2 linked regions of the Alligator mississippiensis genome follow. The protein of the gene in region 2 binds, or shares a complex with, the protein of the main gene of each other region. Links are inferred from orthologs where the notes say so. Each region holds a gene or a part of one and is shown on either strand. Other genes may lie near its edges. The genes, in order: MKS1 and TMEM67.

Region 1 (15,025 bases), on a different chromosome or scaffold from region 2:
GTATTTATTGTGCCATTCCAGTTCCCTTTGTCCTCACTTGGACTATTCCTTTACTCTTGGTCCACCCTGGGACCTTATCCCAGTCCACTCTAGACCTTCTTTCCCACCCTGGCTGTCTCACAGCCTGGCTCATTCTCCTCTGGCCCAGTCAGCCACACTTGCAGCAAACCAGTTACAAAACTATAGCCTTAACCTGGGGACAACCTCACTCAATACAACGGATCATGGGAAACCAAACTTAGAGTAGTCTCTGTGGCCTGCTGTCAGGCCTAGACTGCCACATGCCCCTGGAGTGAAAATGACATATGTCCTACTTAAGAAACTATTTACAAGAACTATTTACAGGAGAGGAAGACCAAATAAGCCTGCTTCTTGTGGGAGTCCCAAGGAAGAGCTTTCCCCTTCCCCTTGAAAAGGGACATAATGCCCTATGTGACAGCACTCCATATAAATACATCTTTCTTACCTACCTGGGTAGTGAGCTGCCTATTCAAGAGCCTCAACAAACAGGCACAATGACAAGATGACACCAGGCAGAACCATGATATTATTCTGCAGGCATCTCAGATCATGCTTCCTAGCAAAGTGTTAGGTTGCAGGATCTCCGAACTAGACATCCCCTTTCACAGTATGAAAGGTGACCCATGAAAAGTAATTTCAGTCCCTCGTCATGCAGTTAGTCCTGCCCAGCTCACCTGTAAGCACCTTTGGTGCCTGTGAAATCTGGCTTCACTGTGATCACCCCATTGCTGTCCACCTTGATTGTGCAAAGAACATGTTCATACTCCCTGCGGCCAAGCCTGGGACAGAGACCAAGAAACAGCAATGGAGTCTGAATAGAGCCAGCAGACCTCTGGAATGACAGCTTACATGTGTACATAGGGCAGAGGGGGTTCAGACCCATCTGTATCCCTACTCATCAGAAAGATAGGAGGAGGAGGGAAGGAAAACATGTACAATGCCTCCCACAGAGATAACAAGTAGGAGGAAACAACAGCTGGTATTGCTGAAGCTCTTGGGAGTCCCTCGATCCCCTTCTGCCAACTTGTGTAAGGGGTCGGAGCTTTGATAAAGAGGGGAAGAATAGAGGTTCACATCCAGCAGACCAACTCACTCTGAGCATTTCCTTACTTTCCATACGCTCCCAAGTCTGCCATAATATACATGGTCTGAACAGGGGTGTTGATGACATGGTTATTCTTAATAAATTCTTCCGAGGGCTCCCAGGTGATGATTCGTGACTTCAGAGTGCTCCCCTCCCTGCCAAGGATACCACAAAATGCTATTATGCACACTCGCCAAGCCACTCTATAAAACACATCATGACACCAGTACAAACTAGCTGAGTACAGACAACAGTGTACATGGTGAGATGCACAACCTGGGATCCAGCATGAGAAGGCACAACACCAGGCTCTGGATGGAGAAGCCAGACCCAGATGGGCACCAGTGCTGGAATCCACTCTCAGTTTGTTCTGAGTCATTCTTTGTACTCACATAGGCCTGCGGTCCTGTCTTCTCCTCCTCACATTGGCCATCCTTTCTGCCAGATGTGATGTCACCTCATAGTCTGAGTTGGTCATTTTCTGACAGTGCTAGAAGAGAAGGCAGGAAGTGAAACTGTTATTCCTACACAGGAACAGGTTCTCTTTCCCATGAGAAAGGCAGAACCATTTAATGCCAGAAGATTTGCCCTTCTCCCTTCTGAGCTCCAAAGGCCATAGCAAGAACGCAGGCAATTACATGTAAATACAGACACACATGCATGCTCCTCTCAGCTGCTCTAGGGCACAGAAAGCCTGAAAAGCCTTGGATCTCCCCTGTGAACAGCACAGCACAGAAAATAGCCCAGCTGTCAGCTGTCAGGTGACTGCAGAGTTCATCCTCCATTCTTTTAACTTGGCACATTTGAAGCTCTACCTTGCTAAGTCATCCACCATTTTGACAGCTTCCTCTTGGCTTTCATTGTGCAGCACTCAGAAAGAGGCAGAATTGGGGCAGTAGGTGGGAGTACCTTGCAGAAGCAGTGTGTTCTACTGCCCTAAAAAGCTGTCCTCTCAGAGTCCTTGGGTTCAGTTGATGCAGGACCTGGCCATGTTGAGAGAGATGACTGGCGGCAACAAATTAGGCATGATTAACAACAGGTACCTCCTCCAGGTTGGTGAATCGGTCATGGTCTGTGTAGGTGAAGATGCGGTAGTTTTTCCGGCCTCCTGTCTTCTCCAGCTTCAGGATCTCCTGGTGATACTGCCGATCCAGGGGAGACTGACAGGCTGACTCATTTTGATACAGATCCACCTCAAACTAGGAATGGCACAGTAAAAACAGAGATTTTGGCATAACATGGATAGCAGAGATTAGAACCAGGAAAAGCCTCACGGCTGAGATTTTTTAAAGAAGCCACAGCAAGTTAAGTGCCTTTGTAAAGCCCAGTTTTTAGCCCGGGGTGGACAATTATTTGGGCTGGAGAACCACTGAATGAATTTCAGTGAGCTGTTGAAGGCTGCATGAGCACCTATGTGCACACGCGTGCGCACACACACACGTGAACTCCTCAAAGCCAGGCCAAGTCTGGCACCAGAATAGCAGCAAGAGTGGGAGCATGAGCCCACCTGGGTCTGTAGCATCTTATCTCTGCTCCTCCATGCTCTCTGCCCCTGTGCTGCCCAGCTTGGCTGCCAGCAGGTAGGAAGGGGGCTAAGAGTCAAGCTGTGCGAGGGGCAGGGCTGTGGCATTTGCAGCCCCACAGAGCCCAGCTGCAAGGGGGTGGGGAACACCCCCAACTCTTAGTCTTCCCTCTCCCCCCTCCCCGGCTCGCTGTGCAAACCCCAGCTTGGAGGAAGCCAGGACAGAGACTCAGTTCCCCCCCTCCCCTACCCCCATCACTGCGCGGGCCTCTGGTGTTACAGGAGACACTGAGCAGAAGCAGCCCTGCCCACACAACACCATGGGATTGGACTCCATCTCCTAGCTGCCGTGCAGTGCCAGGCAGGTGGGGCTGCTTCAGCCCAGCATCCCCTGTCACATCAGCAGAAGCCAGAGACCCCCACCCCACCTGTGGGCCTGCCAATTGATTCATTGATTCTATCTGGCCCATGGACAGAGGACAGCTCCGGCTCTGGCCTCTGATGGTGCCACAGGCCAGACAGAATCAATTGGCAGACCAGATACAGGCCATACTGTATTTTTCCCACCCCTGTTTTAGCCCTACCCTTAGTTCTTTAGGTCTCAACTAGGCCATTCCCCAAGGCTTGAGGTACTCCTGCACTGACATCACCCACAGGGTTCCAAGGTGCTTCTAGGTATGGCCCATTTTCTTCTCACAATACCACTGCCTGAAAGTGACTTGAGCCACTTTGTGCCCAAGTTCCCCTACCTGTAAAAGAGGAAGCATGGCTCACCTGAAGTCACACAGAGTTATTGGGACAGATAGAAACAAAACTCTTGGTATCTTTTAACTTGCATTTCTGACCTTTAGCCCAACCACACATTCATTCTTACAAAGCCCATCATGTGATTTCATTTTAAGCAGGTTTCAAGCAACAGGATCTTCACTTCTCTCCTGGGGAGGCAATTCCACAAAATGATAAACCCCTCTGCTGCATGGAAGTGGTGTTCTGTATTCATCTTCCATTTTGTCTGTTGTAGTTTGATCCTGTCATTTCTAATTATTACTGCATTAACTTGTGGCCTGATCCTGGAGACAGATGTCAATACATTTACTCATGCAGGGAGTTCCATTCCTTCTGATGGAATTACTTGGCTGAATAAAGCTGCTCAAATACATGCATGCAGGACTGAGCTAAGGTTGATTTAGTGCTTTAGTGGCTGTAATCAAATGAAGTACACAGATTCTTTGTAGTATTAAATTGGATAGCTCCATCAAAAAAATGGTGAAAATTTAGGTCACAGCCATGTTTCAACTGGAGACAAAAAGCCCCTATCTATAGGAGAACCATATTTGTGAAAAAAAGGCTGATGCATTACCATTTGGTCAACATCTAAGGAAGTTTCATAGAAACTAACTATGCAAAAATTAAGATGGCCAATTCTTGTGAGATTAAGAAGGAAACATTAAGGCTGTGCTTTACACACAGATTCAGACCTCCGCCCTGAAAATATTTCACAGAAATCAAGCTGTACTTTTGTTGTTTACACACACACACTGGGAGAAAATATTATTGAAAAGCCTCCGAGAAGTACATCAGAAACCAGTTCTGCTTGTTCCTGTTCTCTAATTTGGTACTGACCACACAAGAGATCAGAGAGTAGCCACCCCTTCTAAACTGCAGCAGCACAACTGGGAGTCACAGGAACCTCTATTCCTCTTCGCCATTTGAAGAAGATGCCAGAGGCTCCTGCTGGCAAGGTCCTCCCACTCTTCCACTGGCTCACCTGACTGAAGAGTTTCTCCTGCCATCCAATCACTGCCTCTTCTTCCTCATCATCAAGACAGCTACCTAGAAGATAAGAGGTGTCAGACCACTGTTTCATATCTCACTTGACCCTCTGACCCTGCTTCAGAACTGTGAGCAAAGAGAGCCCTTTGAACATTTCTTCTCCATTCTGTTTGGTTTTACGGGCAGCATCTGGAACTCACAAGGTAGCCACACTGCCACATTTTGAATTCCCAAAGCACTTATACCTAGAGAGCAAGAAGCTTACGTTCAGATCCAAGCAAGGCTTCCGGTGCTTCTCTCTATGGTGGCATGGGAAGAGTACTCGCAGCTGAAGCCCCGTCAACCACCAAAGCCTCATGTCCACAGGCTGAATTCAATGGCTCTGCAGGCCCGATTCAGCCTGCAAGTCATAGGTTGCCAACCCCTGATCTAGACAAATTACCAGGCTGGACACTTTTCTGTATATTTTCCAGCTCTAATACCACATTAAAGAAACTACAAATGCATCAAGTCCTTATCATATCATTTTTACATGTAAGCGGTTGTAGCTGCCACTGGCATGTTAGGTGATAGTAAACAGAGTGGACTAAATGCAAGGGAAAGTGTCCAATGGAGGATTAAGACATGGTCCATACTATAGAGGTACTTGGGAACCCTTGACAAATATTCCAAGGAATTTGCTTTTCCCTGTGGACATCATTTGCTTTCTGTGGGTCTCTGAGTTTAGAAATAAAACTAGACGATAGGGAGGAATTGCTTTTCGTTTGCAGGAAAGAAAAAGAGCCCCATGAGTTGAACAGTCCTATGTCTAACAGTAAGTACACGACACCCTCGTTAACACAACTGCTTTTCCTCGTGAAGACAGCCCCAAAGAGACAGCCCCTTAGGCTGGTTGCACTTGCATCACCCTGGCTTGAAAGACTTCAGTTTGAATCTCAAACCCACCTATTGCTCCAGAGGAACCCAAGAGAGGCAAGACCTGCCTTAGTTGGGAGGAAACATTTGATGGCCTGGGGAGGGCGAAACCTTTTCAGGTTGCAAGCCAGACCGACCCAGTTCAGGTCAGAGGTGGGCTTGTGCACCGTGGGCAGGCGTGAGGATCCAGCTGCTGTCACTAGTGCTTTCTGCAGCAGCTAGGCCGGGAAAGCACCCACCACTGCTGCTTTTCTCTGTGGTCTATAGCTGGTGCTCATCCCCATGACAGCACGGGAAAACTTACCTGGCAGCGGAAACGCCATGTATCTGGGTCCAAGAAGGCAGTTTTCCTTAAGCCCTCCCAGGGATAACTGTTCTTCTGGCGCGGTTTAGTACCCACCGAGGTGTTGGGGCTTAATGCCTATTTTATGGAAATGGGAGGCTCCTCCCCAGCTTGCTCCTGTCACCACATGGTTGCAGGCAAGCGAAACTTGGGGGCATCCAAACCCCAAGCCTCCAGGCTGATGCCCGCCAAAAGACATGGGAAGGATCTAAAGCCCCGGCAGGTGGAGGATGTTCGCTGGTTGTAGAGCCACATATGGTTCGGGCCCGACTCATGGATTTGGACGTGATTTGGCTCAGAACACAATTAAAAAAAAAAAAAAGACAGCAGGGGAAAACAGCTGCTGAAGGGCCCACGGCTGCGGGGGAACGTGCTGCGAGCAGAGGGGGAAACAGCAGCGCCAGGTGTTTTCCTTGCGCAGTCACTGGGAAAAGCAGCAGGAGCAGCTGAGTCCTAACATCCCCCCCATACCGGGTCAATCTGGCTGTAGAAACCTGGCTCCTAACATCTGCCCAGCACGGACCCAGTGTGGGGGGGAGAAGTGGGTGCTGCAGCACCACATCCATGGCCAGGACCCGGGTGTCACCGCACTGCTGGACTGCCAGGGGCAAAAGCAGAGGCTAGGACAAGCCGGCAGAGGCCCCGCTCAGCCCGGAGAGGCCCCGGGGGTTGCAGGGCGCCAGGCCCTGAGGCTCCCGGGGAGACGTGGCTGGGGCGGCCGGCTCTGAGGAGGTCTCTGCGGGGGGACGACGCCACCTACTTGCCGCGGTGCTGGGGGTGGCCGGGCCCAGGAGCTGCTTCCCCGGCGGGCCGGCGGAGCGCGGCAGCTGCTGCAGGAGGAGGCCGGTGGACGTGACGCGCTGGAGCCGCACCCTGGCGGGGGCACGAGGGCACGGAGCGGTGAGCCCGCGGCCGGCGGGACGGGGACGGGGACGGGGTCGGGGACGGGGAAGGGGGGCGGGCCCTCACCGGAGGCGCAGGTTGCGCACGGGGTCGCGGGAGCGGTAGACGGCGCCGCCCGTGTCCGTGCTCCAGGCCGGCTCCGCCATGGCCCCGCCGCAACCATGGAGACGGCGGGCGCCGCCCCGTCTGCGGCCCAGCGCCCGCCCCGCCCCGCCCCGCCCCGGGCTCCAGCCTGAGCGCCGCGGGGGAAGGGGCCTCCGCCCCCACAGCGCCGCGGGAGGCGCGCACGGATGTCGCCTGGCTGCACCGGGGTGCCATCCGCACACCCACCAAGGCAAGCGGCAGATTAAAAGCCCAGTCGTGCAGGCGAGCCAACTGCAGCTGGCTACTAGCATCAAGGACGGTAAGTCCTTTTTCAGATCTGCGGGGAGCCGGAGGAACAGCAAGGGCAACACTGGACCCCTGCTGAACCAGATGGGACAACTGACAACCGACGCACGGGAAAAAGCCAGAGACTAGCTGACAGCAGCATCCTGAGGGATCCCCAGCACGGGTTTGCTGCCGGTAGGTCGTGCTTGACCAATCTCATTCCCTTTTACAACCAGGTGACCTATCACCTGGACAAGGGGAAGAGATTGATGTTGTATATCTTGACTTTAAAAAAGCCTTCGATCTGGTATCCCATGATCACCTCTTGGCAAAACTGGCCAACTGTGGCCTTGACCTCACCACGATCCGCTGGCTGGGGAGTTGGCTCCGCGGCAGGACCCAGAGGGTGGTGGTTGACGGAAGTCAATCGTCGTGGTGTGCGGTGATCAGTGAGGTCCCTCAAGGCTCTGTCCTAGGGCCTGTACTTTTTAACATCTTCATCAATGATGTGGACACTGGAGTCAGAAGCAGACTGACCAAGTTCACCGATGGCACCAAACTCTGGGGTAAAGCATCCATACCTGAGGACAGGAGAGTGATCCAGGCAGATCTTGACAGGCTCATGAAACGGGCGGATGAGAACCTGATGGTGTTCAACACCGAAAAATGCAAGGTTCTCCACCTTGGGAGGAAAAACCTGCAGCATCCTTATAGGCTCGGCAGTGCTATGCTGGTTAGCACTACAGATGAAAGGGACTTGGGGATCATGATTGACCACAAGATGAACATGAGCCTTCAATGTGATGCTGCAGCTAGTAAAGCGAGCAAAACGCTGGCTTGCATCCATAGATGCTTCTCAAGCAAATCCCAGGACGTCATTCTCTCGTTGTACTCAGCCTTGGTGAGGCCGCAGCTGGAGTACTGCGTCCAGTTTTGGGCTCCACAATTCAAAAAGGATGTGGAGAAGCTTGAGAGGGTGCAGAGGAGAGCCCCGCGCATGATCAGAGGTTAGGAAAACAGACCTTACGATGAGAGGCTGAGAGCTATGGGACTCTTCAGCCTGGAAAAGCACAGGCTCAGGGGTGATCTGGTGGCCACCTATAAGCTTATCAGGGGTCCTCACCAGGATCTGGGTGAACGTCTGTTCACCAGAGCACCCCAAGGGATGACAAGATCGAATGGTCACAAACTCCTCCATGACCGTTTCAGGCTGAACATAAGGAAGAACTTCTTTACTGTCTGAGCCCCGAAGGTTTGGAATAGACTGCCGCCGGAGGTGGTTCAAGCACCCACTTTGAATGCCTTCAAGACACATTTGGATGTTTATCTTGCTGGGATCCTATGATCCCTGCTGACTTCCTGCCCCTGGGGCAGGGGGCTGGACTCCATGATGCTTCAGGGTCTCTTCCAGCCCTAATGTCTATGACTTGCAGCTGCTGAATGCAGTGCATGACTCCTCGCACTCTTGGCTGGTATCAAATCTTGGCTGGTCAAATCAACATGCAGCATTGATTTGAGTGCATCTTAGTTTCTTCATGGCCAGCCCAATAACAGTTTGCATGTGTATTGTTTTCACAGCCTGTCTGCTTCATAAATGGAGCCCTTAACCCAGCAACCACTAGCGTCCGGACTGGGCTTAATACCTGTAGGTGTAGAAAACAGTTTGCTTTTCTTCTGCATTGGTTCATTATTAGATGAATATATTGATAGTCCTGGGTATGACTGAAAACTGCACCCGATCGGGGTTTGGGGTCACTGCGGTGGGACTGCTCGTGCTGGAGCAGCCCCTAGAAAGTGCTGCCAGGGCCAAGGCCCGAGGAAGGGCAAGTCTGGGGAACTCTAAAACTAGGGCTGCACCGATAAACATTTTTTGGCTGATACTGATAGCTCATTATTAGCCAGCCATATCGGCCGATACCGATCCAATTGCCAATACGCAGCCTGGCAGCTTGGAGAGCAGCGTCCGGCTGGTAAGATTGTGGGGGGGAAGGGACTGAGAGAGAGAAGGAGCGTGGGGGGCAGATCGAGGCCCCCACGGTGAGGGAGGGAGTGGGACTGGGGCAGGAGCAAGGGTAGGCACTGCCCAGCCAAGGCAGGGCGTGGGATGGAGCCAGCAGCACATCCAGGGGGCGCCGAGGGTGGGGAGGGGGAGCAGCTCCTGGCACTGTGTGCACACCGAGAGAGGTATGGGGGGCATGTGTCTCTCCGGATTTGTGCGTGGGGGTGAAGGCAGGCTGCTCACTGTAGGTTTGGGGCTAGGGGCTGCACAAGCGTCTTTATAGCAGGGGCTGGGCAGGTGGCAACAGTAGCACTAGGAGGCGGGTAGCAATGGGGTGGGCTACAGCCACCCCAAAATTCACCATAGCCTCCTCAGTAGCTCTCCCTCCCAGAGCCACAGTCACCCACCCCACCCTCCCCTGCCCCAGGCACAGCCCTGGCTCAGTACCCATTCTGGAAAGAGCCCAGTGCAGCCCCTGGCCCACTTTTGCCCCATGCAAATTGTGGCGGCACATGCCTCCCCCCAGGGGTGCACACAACAGCGGGAGCTCCCCACCCCAGACAAGTTGCCTGTGGCTTCACCCTGTGCCCCACCCCACCCCAGCTGGGCAGCACCTGCCCCAGTCCCACTCCCTCCCTCACTGGTGGCCTCAATTGTCCCCCCGCACACGCACACCCCTACCCACCCCATGCTCCTTCCCCCCCACATACTTACCGGCTGGGTGCTGCTCTCCAAGCTGCCAGGCTGCATTCCTGGCTGCATGCATGCTGTGGCTGTGCACATACACACAGCATTTATTGGTAATATCAGCTGCATCAGCCAAAAAGAGCTGATTGCGGATAATGTCAATTTTCCTTTTATCAGTGCCAATACGGTATGGACCAATGTATCAGTGCACGTCTACCTAAAACCCCAGCCCCCACTGCCTTGTGGGTTACCCCCTGGTGGGTAAAGATTAGAGGAACTGACCCCGAAATAAAAGTAAAGGCAGGGCCAGATTATTAACTAGAGTAGACAGCTATACCTGGCTCCCTCTGGAAAGTCTTTTCTGGTGGATCAGGTGGTCAAGCAGATATGCTCATCTCCCTGTCTGTGAAGGCAGATCTGTCAAGAGCTGTATGGAAAGTGTAGGGCATCAGTTCAGGTGCAATAGGAGCTGATGGCCATCTACTGCATCCAGACTTGTCTCCAGATGTCTTGACTCACCTAATGTCATGCCACTGGATTCAGACAGGCCTGGACAAAAGAGTGTGGGTGACTCTGCACAACTTTCCCTCACTTAAATCCAACTTGCACACAATTCATAACATCATCGTCATCTCCCATAGACACACTCAAGTCCTGTGGCGATGGGCGAGCAGCAAAACAGCAGGTGTGGATACACTGGGAGCTGTAGTTGCAGACCTGTACACAGGCAGTTCAGGGCACATGATCACTTCTCACTGGACCAAAGCAGCAGTGGAATTCAGCAGCCCCCTGGGCGACTGGGCAGCCCTATTTAGGTTCACACTGCTCACCTCTGTAGTATGAAGAAGGGGCTAGAAAAGATGCCCTAAACATTTCATAGACATTAGGGCTGGAAGGGACCTCACAAGATCATCAGGTCCAGCCCCCTGCCCAAGGGGCAGGAAGTCTACTGGGGTCAAATGATCCCAGCAAGACAAGCATGCAAGTGGGTCTTAAAGGTGTCCAGAGTAGGTGCTTTCACCACTTCTGGGGGGGGGTGTCTATTCCAGACTCTGGGGACTTGGATGGTACAGAAGTTTTTTCTTATGTCCAACCTAAAATGGTCTTCCTGGAGTTTGTGACCATTAGACCTTATCTTCTCTTGGGGCACTCTGGTGAACAGATTTTCTCCCAGTTCCTCATGCACACCCCTTATATACTTATAGGCTGCCACCAAGTCCCTCCTGGGCCTTCATTTCTCCAGGCTGAAGAGTCCCGTGCCTCTCAGCCTCTCATCATAAGACTTGTTCTCTTGCCCTCTGATCATGCACATGGCTTTTCTCTGGACACTCTCAAGCTTCTCCACATCCTTCCTAAAGTGAGGAGCCCAGAACTGGATGCAGTATTTCACCTGTGGCCTCACCAAGGCCGAGTATAGCAGGAGGATGACTTCCTGGGTCTTGCTTGAGTTGCATCGATAGATGCAAACCAGGGTTTTGTTTGCCTTGCCAGCTGCGGCATCACATTGGTGGCTTATGTTCATCTTGTGGTCAATCATGACCCCCAAGTCCCTTTTGGTCGTGGTGCTAGTGAGTGTAGCACTGCTGAGCCTATAAGTATGATGTGGATTTTTTTCCCCTGGAATGGAGCACCTTGCACTTCTCAGTGTTGAATGCCATCATGTTTTGATCCGCCCACCTTGCAACCCTGTCCAGGTCAGCCTGAATCGCCAGTCTATCCTCTAGTGTGACCACGCTTCCCCATAGGTTGGTGTCATCAGCGAATTTAGCCAGTCTGCTTCTGATACCTGAACCTAAATCATTTATAAACATGTTAAAGAGTACTGGTCCAAGTACAGAGGCCTGGGGGACACCGTTAGTTACCATGCGCCATGTTGACATGGTTCCATCCACTATCACCCTCTGGGTACAACCACAGAGCCACTTCCCGAGCCATCAGATCATGAGGTTGTCAAGGCTTCAGTTCCCCAGTTTAACCACGAGAACTTCATGGGAGACTGAGTCAAAGACTTTTTTTGAAGTCCAAGTAAATAATATCAAACTCTTCTCTTTTGTCCAGATGATGTGTCACCTGGTCATAGAAGGAAATGAGGTTGGTCAGGCAAGACCTACCTACAGCGAAGCCACGTTGGCTGTCTTTCAGAATGTTGCATTCCATTAGCCTGTTGTTAATGGTTTCTTTGATGATTTTTTTTCCAATATCTTTCCAGGGATTGAGGTCAAACTGATTGGCCTGTCGTTCTCTAGATCTTCCTTCCTCCCTTTCTTGAAGATGGATACCACATTGGCCCTCTTCCAATCCTCAGGAACCTTACCCAAGCGCCACAAATTCTCAGATATCCTTGCCATTGACTGCACTATGATGTCCGCCAGTTCTTTTAGCACTCTTGGGAGCATTCTACCTGGGCCAGTTGATTTGTGGATATCCAGCCTCTCAAGGTGTTCCTTCACAAGATCTTCACCAATGATGGATGTGTGTTCACCCATACCCTGGCAATCCTGCATCTTGTTTGGCAGGGTGATCCACTTGGGCTGGTGGAAAACCAACACACAGTAATCATTAAGGAGATTAGCTTTTTCACGGGTGTCAGATGTCAGCTGCCCCATTTGGTTTAGCGAGGGTCCAGTGTTGCCCTTGTTTTTCTTCTGACTACCCATGTATCTGAAGGAGGTCTTTTTATTGTCCTTGATTCCCATACCCAATCTGAGTTCAGTTTCAGTCTTGGCTTTCCTAGTTTGCTCCCTACAGGTGCGGGCCAGTGCTGAATAATCCTCCTTGGCGATGTTACCTGATTTCCAACCCTTGTAGGCTTCTCTTTTCAGATACAGGAAGTCCATGAGTCCCATATTGAGCCACAGGGGTCACCCAGCCCTTTTGCTACCTTTCCTACGGGCTGGGATGGACTTCCCTTGTGTGTCAAGGATCACATCCTTAAGAAGCGACCACTTATTGTGGACTCCCCTCTGGTTCCTCAGGGCTTCAGCAACCAGCCTCCTGAGCTTATGAAAGTCGGCTTTCCTAAAATCGAGGATTTCTGCACTGCTGACTGATTTTCCAGTTTTGCAATGGATAGAGAAAGTGATCAGCTCACAATCACTGCCTCCCAGCTTCCCTTTGATTCTCAGGTCACTCACTAGCTCATCCCCTTTGCCCAGTACCAGATCCAGGAGTGCCTTACCTCTTGTTGGCCTGTAGACTTCTTGAGACAAGTAGAGTTCATCAATGCAGCTGCTAGCCTTCCGTACTCTTCCCTCATTCTTCAGGCAAAGAGCCTGGTGGTAGGCATCAATCACCTCTTCGCCATCCCTGATGGCACGCAGCCTAGGCACTGCAGCCTGGAGCTCCGCTATCTGGCACTCCAGGGACTCTAATGTGGAGCACACCCCCCAAGGGGAGATGTCATTGCTCCTGATCCATGTGCCAGGCAGCCCCCACAGCCAAGAGCCAGGGGCTCTATCTGGGTGGAGGCTGGAGCCATGGGCTCCGTCTGGGTAGAGGCCTCAGTGGTATGGGGGGGGCTCCAGCTGCAGGGGCAGGGATATTCAGGGTGCAGCATATCACCACCATCGTACAGGTAGCAGCCTGGGCTACTGCTGCACTGACCCTTCTCTTCAGAATCACTGTCTAGAGCCTTGTGCCCCTCCTGCTCACCCTCCTGCACGAACTCTCATGCTAACTTGCGTATCAGGCCCAGAGCATGCCTGTTTGCGTGACTCCCTAGGGACTGGGCTAAGTAGGAGTTGTTGAGCATGGGTGTGACCCTCCTTGGCTCCACTCAGCTGCCTCACTGGCTAGTGCCCATCCACTGTGGGCCTCACTCACTTCCCATCTTGCTCTGGGGTCTGGTTGGGGGTCTACTAGGACCCGAGCTTATGGGGGCATGACAGGCTCTCACTTGTGCATCTCGCTCTGGAGCTGGGTCTTGATTGAGGGTTTTTTTCATTGGCGCGGCCTTTTAAACCCTGCGCATGCGCAATAAGCCTGCTAGCACCATGCTGTTCTCAGGGACAGGGAATGCCTGTCCCGCCAGAGAAGGGGGCAGGTAAGCGCCCCCTCCTCTTCCCCTACTGCTCCCTAGGGGCTGGGCTAAACAGGAGCCCAGGGGTGGGGTGAGTGGTGACCCTCCTCAGCTCCACTCAGCTGCCACATTGTCTGCTTCACCTTAACCTTGGTCAGCATACCGCAATTGATGGGGATCACACTACACTGGTCAAAAAATCACACAAAAAGAAAAAGACAAAGATTACACCACTCACCATCGGTGCTTGGAATGTGCATACACTAATGGACTCTACAACAGCAGATAGACCAGAGAGAACAGCTCTAGTTGGTAGAGAACTGGCCAGATTCAACATTGAGATACCAGCCCTGTGTGAAACTCGCCTAGCTAAAGAAGCTACGTCTTACTGAAAAAAGAACCAGCTACACATTCTTCTGGAGTGGCCATAGTAAAGAAGAGTGATGTCTGATGTGAAGCTGGTGTTGGGTTTTGCCATCAAAACACTACTAGCCAGCAAGCTTACAAATGTCCCAAAGGGAGTGAATGACACACCTATGCGAATGAGACTCCCACTGTCTGGGCAAAGATGTACCACTATCATCAGCACTTCGTACCCACCATGGCCAACCCAGATGTGATTAAGGACAAATTTTATGAGGACCTCATGGGCTGAGGGAAACTGAGATCATCCAGTTTCCTTTCCCTAGTTTTCCTAGACACTCACTGAACACAGAAGCCACCTTATCCCCCACAGGTGTCCTTCCCCCCTCGCCTCCATAGCCCCAAGCATACGCATCTCCTGACCAAGTGAAAAATGCGTGTTGGTGACACACTGTAGTTGAATCATCATAACTTATCACCAGCCTAGATCAAGGACAAAAAGTGCACCCATTGGTTTAAATATAAGGATCCTCTTGGCTTTTCAAACAGACTTTGACTTTCAAGGTTAATTATCACACTACAAAAATGTTATTAGAAAGGGATTCAGTATTAAATAAATGGTACGCATACAACCTTAATTCAGCCTTTTAACCGCTTCTCCCTTCCACCTTGTTAGTTGTAATTAGTACATCAGCTGGTGGCATTTTGGTGAAGGACATCTTGATAAGGGCTTGGAGAATCTCCCAGAGCAAAGCCAGCTTAATGGGGAAGAGGACCAAGTGACAGATAAAACAAAGAAAGCTGAAATAGTCAATACCTACTTTGGTAACGTCGTCACAAAAAAATACCAAATATTTAATGCATTAACCTTAATAAGGAGATACAAGGTCAGACTAGATTAGAAAAATAACAGGTTAAGAATAGAAATTTCAGCAAGGTCTGATGGAATTTATCCTATAGTGCTCGAGAAACTAGATAGAATATTCTCTGAACCATGAACAATTATCTTTGTTTGGCTGAGTCAGTAC
Region 2 (14,732 bases):
CTGTCATCGTAGGGTCTGCTTCCCTGACCTCTGATCATGCGCGTGGCTCTTCTCTGGACTCTCTCAAGCTTCTCCACATCCTTTTTGAATTGTGGAGCCCAAAACTGGACGCAGTACTCCAGCTGCGGCCTCACTAAGGCTGAGTACAGGGGGAGAATGACGTCCCGGGATTTGCTTGAGAAGCATCTATGGATGCAAGCCAGCGTTCTGGTCGCTTTACTAGCCGCAGCATCGCACTGCAGGCTCATGTTCATCTTGTGGTCAATGATGACCCCCAAGTCTCTTTCTTGCATAGTGCTAGCCAACATAGCACTGCCGAGCCTATAAGGATGCTGCGGGTTTTTTTTCCCAAGGTGGAGAACCTTGCATTTATCGGCGTTGAACACCATCAGATTCTCATCCGCCCACTTGCTGAGCCTGTCCAGGTCAGCCTGGATCATCCGCCTGTCTTCTGGTGTGGATGCTTTGCCCCAAAGTTTGGTGTCATCAGCGAACTTGGCCAGTCCGCTTCTGACTCCCGTGTCCACATCATTAATGAAGATGTTGAACAGTATGGGTCCAAGGACAGAGCCCTGGGGGACCCCACTGGTCACAGGACACCAGGATGAGTGACTTCCATCAATTACTACCCTCTGGGTCCGACCCCAGAGCCAATTTTCCAGCCAGTGGATCGTGGAGGACCCAAGGCGACAATTGGCCAGTTTCTCCAAGAGACGATCATGGGACACCAGATCGAAGGCTTTTTTGAAGTCAAGATATATGACATCAATCTCATCTCCCTTGTCCAGGTGATAGGTCACCTGGTCGTAGAAGGAAATGAGATTGGTCAAGCAAGACCTACCCACAACAAACCCGTGCTGGCTATCCCTTAAGATGTTGGCGTCGGCCAGTCCATTAAAGATGGCCTCCTTAATAAACTTTTCTAAGATCTTCCCCGGGATAGAAGTCAGGCTGATGGGCCTATAGTTAGCCGGATCCACTTTCCTCCCTTTCTTGAAGATAGGCACCACATTGGCCTTCTTCCAGTCTTCGGGCACTACACCAGAGCGCCAAGAGTTTTCAAAGATCCGCGCTAGAGGCTGGGCTATGATGCTCGCCAGCTCCTTGAGTACCCTGGGGTGAAGATTGTCAGGGCCGGCTGACTTGAAGGTATCCAGCTTCTCAAGATGTTCCTTCACAAAGTCAGCATTAATGGAGGGCAGGGGATCACCCTCACCTGGACTTTTTGCCCAGTAGCAGGCACGGGCGTCCCATGGGGCTGATGAAAGACCGACGCAAAGTACCTATTTAATAGGTTGGCTTTTTCCTGGGCGTCAGTTGTCAGTTGCCCCATCTGGTTTAGCAGGGGTCCAACGTTGCCCCTGCTTTTCCTCCGGCTCCCCACATATCTGAAAAAGGACTTTTTATTGTCCTTGATGCTCAAAGCTAGCTGGAGTTCAGTTGCAGCCTTGGCTTTCCTGGTCTGCTCCCTACAGGACCGGACCAGTGCAGAATAATCCTCCTTGGAGGTGACTCCCATCCTCCATCCTTTGTAGGCCTTTCTTTTTAGCCTCAGGAGGTCTGCTAGGTCCCTGGAGAGCCAGGGGGGCTGCTGTGCCCTCTTGCTGCCTTTCCTCTGAGATGGAATAGACTTAGTTTGTGCATTGAGGATCGCTCCCTTGAGGAGTAACCACTCTTCTTGAACTCCCCTCTCCCTGTGGTCACAGTCCCTTAGGGCCTCACTGACAAGCCTCCTGAGCTTGTCAAAGTCGGCTTTCCTTAAGTCAAGGACTTCCGTGTTGCTGACTGACTTGCCAGCTTTTCGGCGGATGGTGAAGGTGATCAGCTCGTGGTCGCTGTCACCCAGCTTCCCATCGATCACTAGGTTGCCAACTAGGTCATCCCCAGTAGCCAGCACCAGGTCGAGCAGCGCTTTGCCTCTCGTTGGCCCATAGACTTCTTGAGTCAGGTAGAGGTCATCCACGCACGAGAGGAAGCTTTGTGACCGCTCAGATTTTGCTGAGCGATTCTCCCACGAGATGTCTGGGTAATTGAAGTCACCCATGACAACCATGGTCCTGGAGCAAGCTGCCTCAGCCAGTTCCTGGGCAAACTCCTGGTCTAGCTCAGGACTTTGGGTGGGAGGTCTGTAATAGACTCCCACCATTGTGTCCCCTGTGCCGTGTTCCCCACGGATTTTAACCCAGAGGGTCTCCAGCCGTCCACCCTGGTCGCCAATATCGGCTTGCAGGGACGCGTAGCTTTTCTTAACATAGAGAACTACACCCCCGCCCCTTTTCTCTACACGATCCCTCCTGTACAGGGTATAGCCATCTATCCCTGTGGTCCAGTCATGGGTGGAGTCCCACCAGGTCTCCGTTATCCCTATGACATCGTAATTGTTTGCACTGAGCAGGAGGATGAGCTCCTCCTGCTTATTCCTCAAGCTCCTGGCATTAGTGTACAGGCAGACAAGTGCCCCCTGGGGGGCTCCTTCCTTGCCCACAGATTTTACCAGGGCTGGGGCTGGGGTGGGCTCCCTTGAGTGCTGTGATCCGCTGGCTTTGCAAGGATTGCTCAGCGGGCCAGCAGTGGCGGTAGTCCCCCCGTCCCCCAGCGGGCTTAGTTTAAAGCCCGGTGGAGCAGGTCAGCCAGTCTGGCTGAGAAGAGCCTCCTCCCTAGAGGAGAGAGGTGGAGACCATCTCTTCCCAGCAGCTCGCTGCCTCTCTCGCCAAAGAGCGGGCTGTGGTCATGAAAGCCAAAGCCTTCCTGACGACACCAGTGCCGCAGTCTTTGGTTGACCACATAGATCGTCCTGTCCCTTCTCAGCCCATAGCCTGAGACTGGGAGGATCGACGAGAACACCACCTGTGACCCCAGACCCTTAAGCCCCGCTCCCAAATCCCTGTAGCGCCTCATGACCTGGCTGGGAGTGCTCCGAGCCGTGTCACTGGTGCCCACATGAATAAGGAGCATGGGATAGTGGTCTGTGGGTTTGAGGAGCTTGGGGATCCTCTCCGCAATGTCCCGGATGCAGGCCCCTGGGAAGCAGCAGACTTGCCGGGCTAAGGGGTTGGGGTGGCAGATTGGCCCCTCCGTCCCCCTCAGGAGGGAGTCTCCCACAACAAACACCTTACGTTTTGTCTTGATCTAACTTCAAATCATTGAAGTTAGATCAGGAGTGCTCAACCTGCAGCCCAAGCAGCCATTGCATCTGGCCTGTGGGGCTCCTCACCAAATGGAAAATTTGTCAGAGGGGAAGCAGTAGCCATTAATATGCCAAATCCCCAAGCCTGGTCGAAGCCAGGCCACCACCATCCCTGCAGCCTGGACCATGCCTCCTTCCCCCTTCCCACACTCCCCTTCCCCCCCGCAGGGCCAGACTGGGGCTGATCATGCCTCCCCAATCATACTCCTTTCCCTCACAGGGCTGAGCCATGGCCCCCACTTTTCCCAGGTGGGGCTGGGTCACGCCCCCTCCCCCTGCAGGACCAAACCATGCCCTCCCATGAAGCCTCTTTCCCCTTTCTGCAGAACCAAGCTTGAGCTCGGCTGCAATCTGTCCCCTCCTCCTGGACCAGTGGTGTCTGCCCCTGGGAGCTGGATAGGAACTACTATCCAGGAGCAGCAGACCAGGCATTGCCCATGAGCTCCCACAGGGAAAAATGTTGAACACCACTGCCCTAGACTGTTACATAAAAATAATACAACAAAGTTTCCAGGGTCATAGAACCATAGCTTCTCAGTGCTGGAAGGGACTTGAGGTCATCTAGCAAAATACAGGCCACAGGCCAGATCCAGCCCAAAGGATTCTATCCAGCCTGTGGCAGGTTCCTTGGCCCTGCTAGCCCAGGAGCCAGCCCAGGCACACATGGCAGGGCAGTGGCAGAACAGAAGCCAGACTTGATTTCCTGGCAGCCTCCATGGCAGGCTGCTGCTGCCTGCATCTCTGCTGCTGTCACCACTGGTGGACCCAGCCCCACTACCTGGGCACCCTGGTGCATCCACTGCCAGGGATGGTGGATGGAGCAGCTGGGCGGGGTCTCCATGGAGATCAGCCTGGGACCCCCCACAAGCAGGCTATGCTCAGCTGGGTGGATGGGATGGGGCTGCAGGCAGGCAGGAAGCAGAGTCTAGGAGCAGGATCAGCAGGCAGGGCTAGGGCTGGGATCACAGGGCAGTGACAGTGTGGGGTCAGGGGCAGAACTGTGATCTGCTCCCTGCATGTCCCTGTTCCTCATCGCAGGGATGTGCAGGGACTGGGTCATGGCTCTGCCTTGTGCCCTGCCCACCCTTCCCTCTCCACGACACTACTCCCCACCCACCTGTGGTGCCCTCCCATTTGTCCAACGCAGTGCAATGAATGGTCTCCATGGAGACCTTGCCTGCCTGCTCACATTATCTGGCACCCCCAGCACAGGGTGCAGGGTGGACGCCAGGCTGGACAGGATCAACTGCCTCCCCTCCCCTCCAGCACCTCACCAAAACTCCCTAAAGAGCCCTCCAGCCCGAATCATTGTCCCCCTGCCCCCAGATTAATCCATCCCTACTCAGTGCCTGCCTATTCTGCTCTCCCAACTGCACATAGATGGAGGCTATGCTGTCGCTGTGGGCCACCTGCTCATTGTTGCCAAGAGTATAATTATCATATTTGTACGATAATTTCAACCCTTGTACGATCTATAACAGCAGAAGTCTTCAAAATGTATGATAATTTTTGAGGCAGCTAATTGATGCAGCAAATTCTAAACCCAAGTCACTCTCAGGGAGTTTCAACTGACTTTAGGGTTTGCTGCCAGCACTTCCTTATGACCAAGGATCCTGGTTTTCCCTGATTTAAGAAATAAATAAATAAACAAAAAAATTGCAATTTCTCTGATAAAACACCCTGGAAAATCTGCGATTGAAATGAAAGGCCACTTGTCCCCCCAATCCTGCTGGTGCCCCTCATTCCTTCCACGGTCCCCCGGCCCTGCTTGTGCCAATCACTGCCACCCCCACAGCCCCACCCAGCCCTGGCAATGCATCCCCAGCGCATGCGGCAGCAGCGAGGGGCACAACGCCATGGTGCTGCCCCTGCTGCTGCCTTGCGCAGAGGGCATGTCACTAGGGCAGCGCGGATCTCGCAGCAACAAAGAGATCCCTGCATGGCCCTGCCGTTCCCTGAACCACTGGTTCGCACCTGTCGGGCTGCAGATGCTCCAGGGAAGGGCAGCAAGGTGGGAGCCTGACCCTGCAGTGTGCAGCCTGCACCCACCCTGCATATATATCGGGGGGGGGGGGGGGGAAGGGGGGCACAGGTCCTCCCTGTTTCCTGGGAGTGTGCGTAGCGGCAGGAGCTGGCCTTACTCTGCTCACCCGCCAGACAAGCTGTGGCCTCATGCTACTCCCCACCAAGGCCCTGTGGCCACACACTGCAGCCCAGGGCCACACGCCCCATGCACTGCCCGGCTGGGACAGCAGCACCAGCCCTGCCCTCCCTATGGGAGGCCTCTATTCCCCCAACCCTGCACCTACACCTAGGAGCTGCTCTCCAGGCTGCCCAGCAACTATGTGCGCACACACGCACACGCTGCCCCCTGCCTGACCGCCCTCCTCCCACCCGCCCCAGCCCACCTGCAGAGCGCTCTTCGCAAAACTGCAAAATCTTCAGGTTTCTCTGATAAACATGAGAGATCCATGTTTTCCACCGGTAAAGGGGAAAATCCGTTGTTTTCTCCGTTTTCCCACAGGATCCCTGCTTACAACTGCTTGCCTCAAAATAAAGAAATGCTTCAGCGTTGATGACCCAGTTCTTGCTCGCTGCCTGGCTAAGACTTATTTACATACTTATGTGCATATTTTCAGCATACAATCGTTTTTCAGCCAATACAATAATTTTGAGCTTCCAATAGGATCATTTCATATTTAAGACCCGGCAACGCCGTGCCGCTACGGCGCCCTCCCGGGCAGGACCTGTTCTCCCCTCTCCAGCAGCTCGAAGCCGCGGCGCCCCAGAGAAGTCTCATCTCCAGGGCTCCCCCGACGCGCTCAGGGGCCGGGGCCGGCAGCCGCACGGCAGCTCCCCTGAGCAGAGGGCGCGGGCGGGGCGACGCCTTGCACCTCACCGCTCACCCGAGGCGCTGCCCCGCTGGTGCGGCCCGCACGCCCCGCACGCCAGGCTGGCGGTGTCGAAGTAGCGCGGCTCGCCGCAGTCGCGGGGCCGCCGCAGGGGCAGGGAGAAGCTGTGCCCGGCCGAGGGCCCCGCGCCCAGCAGCAGCGGCAGCAGCAGCGCGACGGCGGCCCAACGCCCAGCCGTCGCCATGGCGACCGGGATCCCGCTGGCGGGGGTGGGGGAGGTCCGTAGCCAGACGTCGCTGCGGAGCGCATGCGCGCCGTCTGTAGCAATCACGGCTCCCTATAGGCCGCCTGCGCGCGTCCGGGATGCAACCCGCCTATGCGTAGTGAAACCTGAACCTAGCACGCACGCGCAGTTAGCACCGGAAGTGACGCAACGCAAGCCGTACGCGCCTCCTCCTAGCGGGAAGCGGTTGGAGGCTCGCGCGTCTGTTGGCGGGAAGGTCAAAGGGGAGGGGGTCGCGCCTGCGCGATGCGGCGAGGTGTGGGGCGGCGCCATCTTGTTGCTGCCTGACTTGGGCGCTGAGTGAGGGGACGGTTCCTCGCGCCTGTGTAGTGGGCACCGGTGTGTACGGCGGCGGGAGGCGGCTGCTCGCGCTGGGCCGCGTCGCCTGCTGGCTCGGAGGGGGGCGGGGCGGGGTTCCTCGGCGACCGGCCGCCCCACGCTTGCAGAGGGCCAGAGGCGGGGGAGGGCGGGAGCGGCCTGTTCTCCCCGCCGGCCCCAGCGCCGGCTCTCGGCCCGGGCGGGAACGCGGGATGCGCCGCCAGCCGGCCCGAGCGGGCCGAGGAGCGGAGGACGGGGGCGGCGGGAGCCCAATGGCTGCGCACGGGAGCCGGGAGCCTCGGGCAGCAGGAGCGCGCGGCTGTCGCGCTGCGGGAAAGGGACCTCCTGCTTCGGCGTCGGCCACTTCTCACACCAGCCCCGGGCGCTGGTGCTTCGCTGCGTCCCCCGCTGGCTCCTGTGTGGGGCTCCGTCCTGGCGGCCTGCTGCGGAAAGGAGAAGGATGGGCGGCCCGGCTGTGGCACTGTGGGCCGGGCCCCGTTCCCGTGCGAGGAGATCGCTGCCTGCGTTGTGAAGTGGCATCAGAAATGGAGCTTGAGCTACGCAGGGTTTTAGGCTTGGAGCCGGTGGCTACCTAGGGTTTCACAAAACCCTTCCTGCTCGGTCTCTCTCAACCTCCTCCTTTGAAGGCTTTGCTCAAGTGTTGATCTGTTCATAGGTATTTAAAGAAAAAAGCTTTCTAAGCTACCTGTAGCTTTGTTGGGTCGTTCCTTTAAAGCACTTGTTGCCTTGCATGCACTTGCAGCTGCTGGTTGCATGGATGGACGGCTAGTGGAAGTTCATTGGCTGCACTTGGCTCTTTTTTTATCTGTGGGACAACTTCAGTTTCACTACTGTTGTGATCTTTGTCTGGTTTAAAGAATAGTAGCTGTATGTTAGGCCTGGGATGTATCGCAGGGATCTTGATAGTTATCGTCACAGAAACGTCGCTGATTCTGGGGTGAAGACAGAATATTGGGTAATAATTGGTATGGGAATGCAGAAGGGAAGTAGAAAACTGCTGACATACTACAGACCACCAAATGAAATGCAGGCATACGGATTTGACTTCGAGTCGAAGGTTTGTTGGGAAAATTGGCTTTCCTGTTGAATTCTTCCCTTGCATGTTGGCGTTGCCATTTTATCGATTGAGAAGATAGCTGTACAGATGTGGGAAGCTCTTTATCTAGAAGTGTGATTTTCAGACATGCAGTTGTTTTAGCTTGTAGCTGTTTTTCCAAAACAAGGATGTAACAAATTTAGAAATTGGCACTGGATTTGCCAGTTACAGAAACGTTTTTGGTTTTATTTTTTGTGCTAATTCAGGTGAAGCAATGGGCTGTTCTGGTTATGAGGTGGCTGTGCAGATCTGTCTCTTCCCTGGTCTGTTGCAAGTCTTGCTGCATAATGTTGTATGCTTAAACAGTTGTCAGCCAGAGTTTATTATTGCTAATGATATGATGGTAATTCCATGCATAGGTTTACCTTGTTTCTGTAGGGGAATATGCTATGTAGTCTATGGCTTTCATGCTATAGGAATTGTTTAAAGACCAGGATAAGTCTAAGATTCTCAAGGTAGTGTTTTTGGTTCTGTGATTGAAGGACAGTAGGTATTTGGGGGGAAATACAAATGAGTTTAATTTGTAACTTCCTGTACTCTCCGGAATTTCTGCTTGTTGAATTTTTTTGCTCTGTCTTATGGTTTTCTTCATTATGTGTCTTCAAGAATACCATGGTGGTGAGTAGCATATTCTGTCACGCACTTCAAAAGCAGGTGGATTTCAGAAGAATTGGACATTTAATGTAATCTTCAGTGGGACTTATGCATCTTTCAAGGACTAAACGAAGAGGTTTTTCCTTTTACCTTATTGGCCATTGTTTCCTGTGAACAGTTCAGTGTGGCACAATTGATGACCCATTAATCTTGGCATGTTTTCATCATTTGCAGAAGCAACTTTACCTTTGAATATTTTACTTCTAAATGGATTCACAGGCAAAAGTGCAAGGCATAACATTTTGCTGAATTACATTGTCTGACTTGTATTTCTCTTGGAACAAGGAAGGAATCCTCTCCATAACAACCCAAATCGTGGTTTCATTACAGTGCTTGGCTGTTAATATTAGCTATTGATATGGATGTACAATAGCAATGTGGCACAGTATTTTAACCAGATGTGATATCAGCCATTAATTATGTCTCATTTTCTTTCCACAGTTAAGTTGATTTTACAGAATTTATCAGGTCTTCCAAGCAGAACCAGGTAAGCTGCCTAAAGGCTAACATTTCTCGCTCAGTATTGTCAAAAGACCACGCAAAGCCATTTCTCACAGACTTTATGACTGGGAAATAGGAAATGCTTTCCTGAATGCATTTGGCTGCTGCAAGAAGAGAGACAACGTTGTTGCATTGTTTGTTATATATACGCATTTGTAAGCAGAACTGGTTAGTTGGTAGACAACTTGTCTGAGAGCATAACATTCGTTACAGTCACTGAAATGCTTTTTTGGTGATGTAGGGGTTTTTTTTTTCTTCTTTTTTCCCCTCATCTTTTATTTTCAGTTTTTTCAGTGCTGTGATAGCAAGTGCCTCTAACACAAAGAGAAGACTTTGGTTCTTAGCATCTCTGACAAGTAGCAGCCATGCCAAGAAAGACTTGAGATGGTCCTTATTTATCGTGGATGGTGAGGAGTTGACTCATGTGGATCTTGTTGCCTTTAGATAGGGAATATTGACAGATTGTGCATACTTCCAGGTGGAATAGCTAATGGTTTTGACTAAATCTACTTCAAGATTAAAACAGGATTCAATGATTGTGGTGAACTTGTGAGCTTCTTGCTTGATTTCATAAAGCTTGATTGAATCAGGGATTTTCATTAAAAAGGTGTTAGTTTAAGAGCTTAGATACTGCGATAGATGAGTACTAAAGACTTGCTATCATGTGTACCTTTTTGTCTGCAGGTGATTTTGCTGTGAGTTGAGCGCAGCATGGCTGTAGTCATCCGTTTACAGGGGCTTCCTGTTGTTGCGGGCCCTGCAGATATTCGCCGTTTCTTCTTGGGATTGAATATTCCTGATGGAGGAGTGCATATTATTGGAGGAGAAACTGGGGAGGCTTTTATTATTTTTGCAACAGATGAAGATGCACGACGTGCCATGAGCTGTTCAGGAAGCTTTATCAAGGACTCCCGCATAGAACTGTTTCTCAGCAGCAAAACGGAAATGCAGAATACTATAGAAATGAGCCGGAAAAGGTTTGATCGTGGAAGAAGAGAAACCACATCTGGGTCTAGACGAACAAGTCTTAGTAATTCTGGTGCCTCGAGCGTCGGCAACATTTCACATTTAGTTGCGGCTATTACAAAAGGAATGAGTAAAAGTCCATCAAATCACACAGATGCTGGCTTTCATAGCAATGGTACAAGACATGGTGATTCAAGCATAGCAAACTATAACCAGTCGAGGAAAGAGTTGCTTTCAGGTAACCTTTATTTATTTCTGAGAGGTTTACCGTACTTTGCAACTGAAGAAGAAGTACGTGTTTTCTTTTCTGGGTTACGAGTGGATGAAGTGATCTTCATAAAGCGTCGCAATGGTCTGAATAACGGAAATAGCGTAGTAAAATTTGCTACACCTAAGGATGCTTTGGAAGGACTTAAGCGTAATAAACAATACATTGGCTCAAGATTTATAGAAATAAGTCCAGCCCCAGAGCAATGGATCAAATACTGTGATAGGGCTAGCATGAAGAATGAGATTGAGATTGAGATGGAAATGGATCCCTTTTTAAGTAAAGAGCATTCTCCAGTGAGAAGTTCAAATTATATACATTCAAGGAAGCATTCTCATTCAAGATCTCCTCCAAGGAGACAAAGAACACGAACACGGTCACGGTCACATTCGCCTCATAGCCAGGATTATTGGATACACTTAAGAAATCTGTCTACAAATCTTGAGAAGAGAGATTTGAGAGCTTTCTTCGGAGAGCTGGATATATGTAGTAACCAAATCAAGTTTTTAACAGACAAATATCAAAGGAGAACTAGAGATGCTCTTGTGATGTTAAAGAGTGAAAGAGATTATCAAGCAGCTTTGGGATTTCATAGGATGGTTCTTTTCAACCGTGCTGTGTACATCTTTCCTATTTCTAAAAGATCGATGTTGAAACTAATTGAATCTTATGAAAAGAAAAGATCACAAGAAAGAGATCGGCCTGGGCAGACCGTACTGGAAAAAGGTTACCGAGAGGGGCATGCTGGCCCTAAAATGTGCATCTATATAAGAAATTTTCCATTTGATGTGACAAAAGTTGAAGTGCAGAAGTTCTTCGCAGGATTTGCTATTGATGAAGATGATATTTACTTGCTCTACGATGACAAGGGAGTTGGGCTGGGGGAAGCATTAGTGAAGTTTAAATCTGAAGAACAGGCAATGAAAGCAGAAAGTTTAAATCGGCGAAGATTCTTGGGAACAGAAGTGTTACTGAGACGTATATCTGAAGAACAGATGCAGGAATTTGGTATAACTATTCCAACATCAGCACCAGGTGAAAAGATACACGGTCATTCACAGGCATATGACAGAAGTGAGCATTCTCGTGCAGTTGGCTCATCATCTGGACCACCACAAGGACCACCTCAGCATTCATTTGGTCCTCCTGGGAGCTTTAGGCAGGGTCCTGATTTTAGACGCCCGCCTGACGATTTCATGTGTCCCCCTGAGGATTTTAGAGGTCCCCAACATTTCATGGACTACGGTGGTGATGGCAAACACTTTGGGAGAATGGAATTTGGAAACAGGAACATGGGGGGCTATCCAGAGGGAAGATTTATGTTTGATCCAAGTTTTGGTGGTGGTTCTGATCATGGAGTACCTATCCAGTTAAAGAATTTACCTTTTAAAGCCACCCCTAATGAAATTTTGGATTTCTTCTATGGCTACAGAGTCATTCCAGAGTCTGTTACTATACAATATAATGAACAAGGATTACCTTCAGGTGATGCCATTGTTGCCATGACAAATTATGAGGAAGCAATGGCGGCTATTAAGGAACTAAATGATAGACCAATTGGCCCACGCAAAGTTAGGCTCAGTTTACTCTAAAGGTTAATTGCCTCTAAAATGAAAAAACCTAGACTTCACAGTATTGATGGATTCTTACTGACAATTCTGTTATTGGAAGAAGCAGAAGAAACTATTTCCATAAAAAAAGGAAGTTGTAAATAGTGTCAGGTTCAATTTTCCATTTATAGTTTTTGGTTCAAATTGATGTTTGTAAGGTAAGACATCTTAGCACTGTATTAGGTTAACTTCCTTCTGTGGTGGGGGAGAGCCTAGTAATCTTACTGAACTGTTGATTGACTTTTAATACCAAGATAAAATCTTGGAGCTGTAATGCTTTTGAAGATTTTTAGTGTGCTTCATTTCACGGTCCCATGATTCTTTATATCTTATGAAAATATAAGTGCTGGCTAACTGACATAAGAGACCGTTCAAATTGGGTAACTTTAATGTCATCTTCATTAACAAATTACCTTGCATTTTTATCAAACCTACATATTTAGGATAAATTGTAAAGATGAACAAATTCCTTATGTGCACACTTAGTCTTTTTTGTTTTCCTGTGGTCACAGGTACCTCAAATAGTTTCGTGTTCAAGTTAGCCAGCCTTACAACTTTTTAATAAAATAATTTGCAACTGACTTTTTGGATTACTTGTTTAAGCTTTTTTACACTTACCCATCTCAAATTCACTTAAGTTGGTCATGGGAGCCAGATATGTTTGCTGCTGAGCTAGATTCAGAAATCATCTTAAAGTTGGGTCATCTTAATGTTTCTTATCCATACTTGAATCTAGTATTGGGATTTAGGGATATCTAAAGAGCAAAAATCACTTGTCTAATTATCTTGCTTACGCTGGTGGTTCTCAGGCGGGGTGCTGCAAGACCTTTTTGAGGGTGATACAGTGCTGCTGCCAGGTGGAACTGTTCCAGGAAACTCGTTTCCAGGGGATGCTATACAGACTAGACAGGGAACTCACTGTAGTAGTAGGGAGTGCCATGCTGCAGCTTGGCCTGATGGAAGGTCCCACTGGTGTAAATGGAGGGGATGAGGAGGGGCACAAGCCCCAGGTCCCCTCCACCCTGTGGTCTGTCTTGGGCCAACCTTTTCAGAGATTGGGAGGGCTGGTTACACAGCAGGCAGCTTGGGTGTTGTGGAAGATGTGTAGAGAAATGCACAGGGTGGGGCAGAAAAGAGGGATGTTCTGTGGTGAGCTGCATCACAGCAGGTGGAGGGGGGGACCCATGGTGGGGTGAGAGAGTGCCCACCCAGTTTGAGAGAGACTGTCCCAGGGCACAAGTCTTTATCTGGAAGGTCAAACAGTTTGTGCAGCAGTAACTGCCACTCCTGCCCCTGCTGCTTTAATTTGGGTCAAAGCAACACCTCTCAACACTCCAGTGCTGATTCCCTCAGCTGTGGATTGAGTCACTGACCTCCCAGCACACTGGATGAGCTGTGACCTCAAGTGCCAGCAGGCTCCCTGACAAACAAGGACCAGCATTCTACGAAGCAGAAATGAGCATGCCTAGGCTCTTCTGGGAGCAGTGGGCACTGGCTGAGGCACTTGGTCCCCACTTTCTCAGTTGCACAGCTCTGCGGTTCCGCTGTGCCATTTCTCCATTTCTTGAGGATCCTGTGAGGCCCCAAAGTCAAATCTGTGAAACCCAGGGCAGGTTCGGTGAAGGAAATGCCTGTTACCCTCTGCACCTCCGCAGCATACCAAGGCAGGGGCGCTCTCTCTCCATGGCCATATCTACAGCTGACATGATGGACCGGTTACTAGAAATTGACTAGAGCTATTTCCACTTTAAAGTCTATCCTATATTTTTATCTATATACTGTTTTATATGGTTGAAAACCTCGTAGGAAATTTGTGCGTTACAGTGGGGCTAATATCTTACTAAATTTCAAACAGAACCGTTGGTGGTGGGACTTGGTGATTGCTGTTTTTTAAAATCAGGTTTCTGTGACTGATTCCATGGCCCGGCTCTTACCACGTACTGAAGCCTTCTCTTCTAAAGTAGCATTCAGGTAGGTTCCACATTGACTTTTCAGAAACACTGTACTAGAGAGGAAATAACTTTATCTGAGTTTTTTTTTACTCTGCTCCATGGACAGTGAATTTGTGATGGCTTTCTATGGTCCTGAAATGAGGGTTAGTATTTTAGCAATGAAGAAATGTTAAAGTAGTTGCATTGTAGGGAAGATGATTACCAGAAACTTCAACAGCAAAGAGGGCTGCTGATAAAGATGAGGGTTATGGTAGACTTATGAGCTAGCCTGTTGGTTGGGAGGGGAAAAAGGCTTATGCAGCATTTCACAAGCTGAAGACTAAGCACCATAGAAGCATGAAAGACGCAGTGAAAGTTGCTCTGTGGGTAAGCGTGAAACTTAGTGATGAAATAAATACATGCTTCAATTTGAATGTTGGGATCAGAATAAATTGTTTATAGTGAACAATTTATTGAATGTTACTTACTTACAAGAACATAAACTTATATCAACAGTTCTTAAAGGAATGTAACACCAAATTACTATAGGAAAAGGGTTCAACAGTCAAAAGCAGAAGCTTCTTGTAGACTCATTGCTGACATCCCCATTTTTTCTTAAGTGATAATGCATAAGGAAATGTATGCAGTTGAGTTTGTATTTTGAATATGTTTAACTTCCACACACACTTTTCAATGGAGGAAGAAGTAAATCAAGCATTAGCTCTTATTTTCTAAGATAATGTAAATGCAAGTGTGTTCCTTTCATGTAGTGTGTTATCGCCCCACTCATATGAAAGCTAGGAAAGCAGGTCCTCTTCATAGGACAGAAATGGTTGTGCTGTACCTTCATCTGGAGAAATCTAAGACCGGAGAAACTTTAAATATAAAGTTTTCAGCTGCTACATACACACTTATGAGACCACTTAAGTGTTACCTGGTTTAGGTATCTAACTGAAAGTAGTTTCAATGGTATCCTGGTTTCTAAGAATCCATGCCAATTTATGGTATTTCAAAAGAAATGTAAAATGCTTCATCTCCTTGCTGT

What was found.
Region 1: TMEM67 (region 2) and MKS1 share a complex: the UniProt entries of both Homo sapiens proteins name them as parts of the tectonic-like complex. The link is inferred for Alligator mississippiensis from reciprocal best matches to the Homo sapiens genes TMEM67 and MKS1.

Annotation. Positions count from the first base shown.
Region 1 is NC_081837.1:29,520,110-29,535,134, forward strand, and holds the start of MKS1 (tectonic-like complex member MKS1), read right to left. Parts: upstream 6,738-15,025; 5' UTR 6,725-6,737; coding exon of another isoform or gene 6,708-6,724; coding exon 6,628-6,707; intron 6,532-6,627; coding exon 6,415-6,531; intron 4,461-6,414; coding exon of another isoform or gene 4,457-4,460; coding exon 4,396-4,456; intron 4,362-4,395; exon of another isoform or gene 3,212-4,361; intron 2,305-3,211; coding exon 2,149-2,304; intron 2,136-2,148; exon of another isoform or gene 2,015-2,135; intron 1,596-2,014; coding exon 1,498-1,595; intron 1,261-1,497; coding exon 1,132-1,260; intron 801-1,131; coding exon 696-800; intron 1-695. UniProt on the Homo sapiens protein: Component of the tectonic-like complex, a complex localized at the transition zone of primary cilia and acting as a barrier that prevents diffusion of transmembrane proteins between the cilia and plasma membranes.
Region 2 is NC_081826.1:43,991,153-44,005,884, forward strand, and holds the start of TMEM67 (meckelin), read right to left. Parts: upstream 6,336-14,732; 5' UTR 6,284-6,335; coding exon 6,094-6,283; intron 1-6,093. Other genes in the region: RBM12B (RNA-binding protein 12B), read left to right, coding at 9,624-11,738. UniProt on the Homo sapiens protein: Required for ciliary structure and function. Part of the tectonic-like complex which is required for tissue-specific ciliogenesis and may regulate ciliary membrane composition.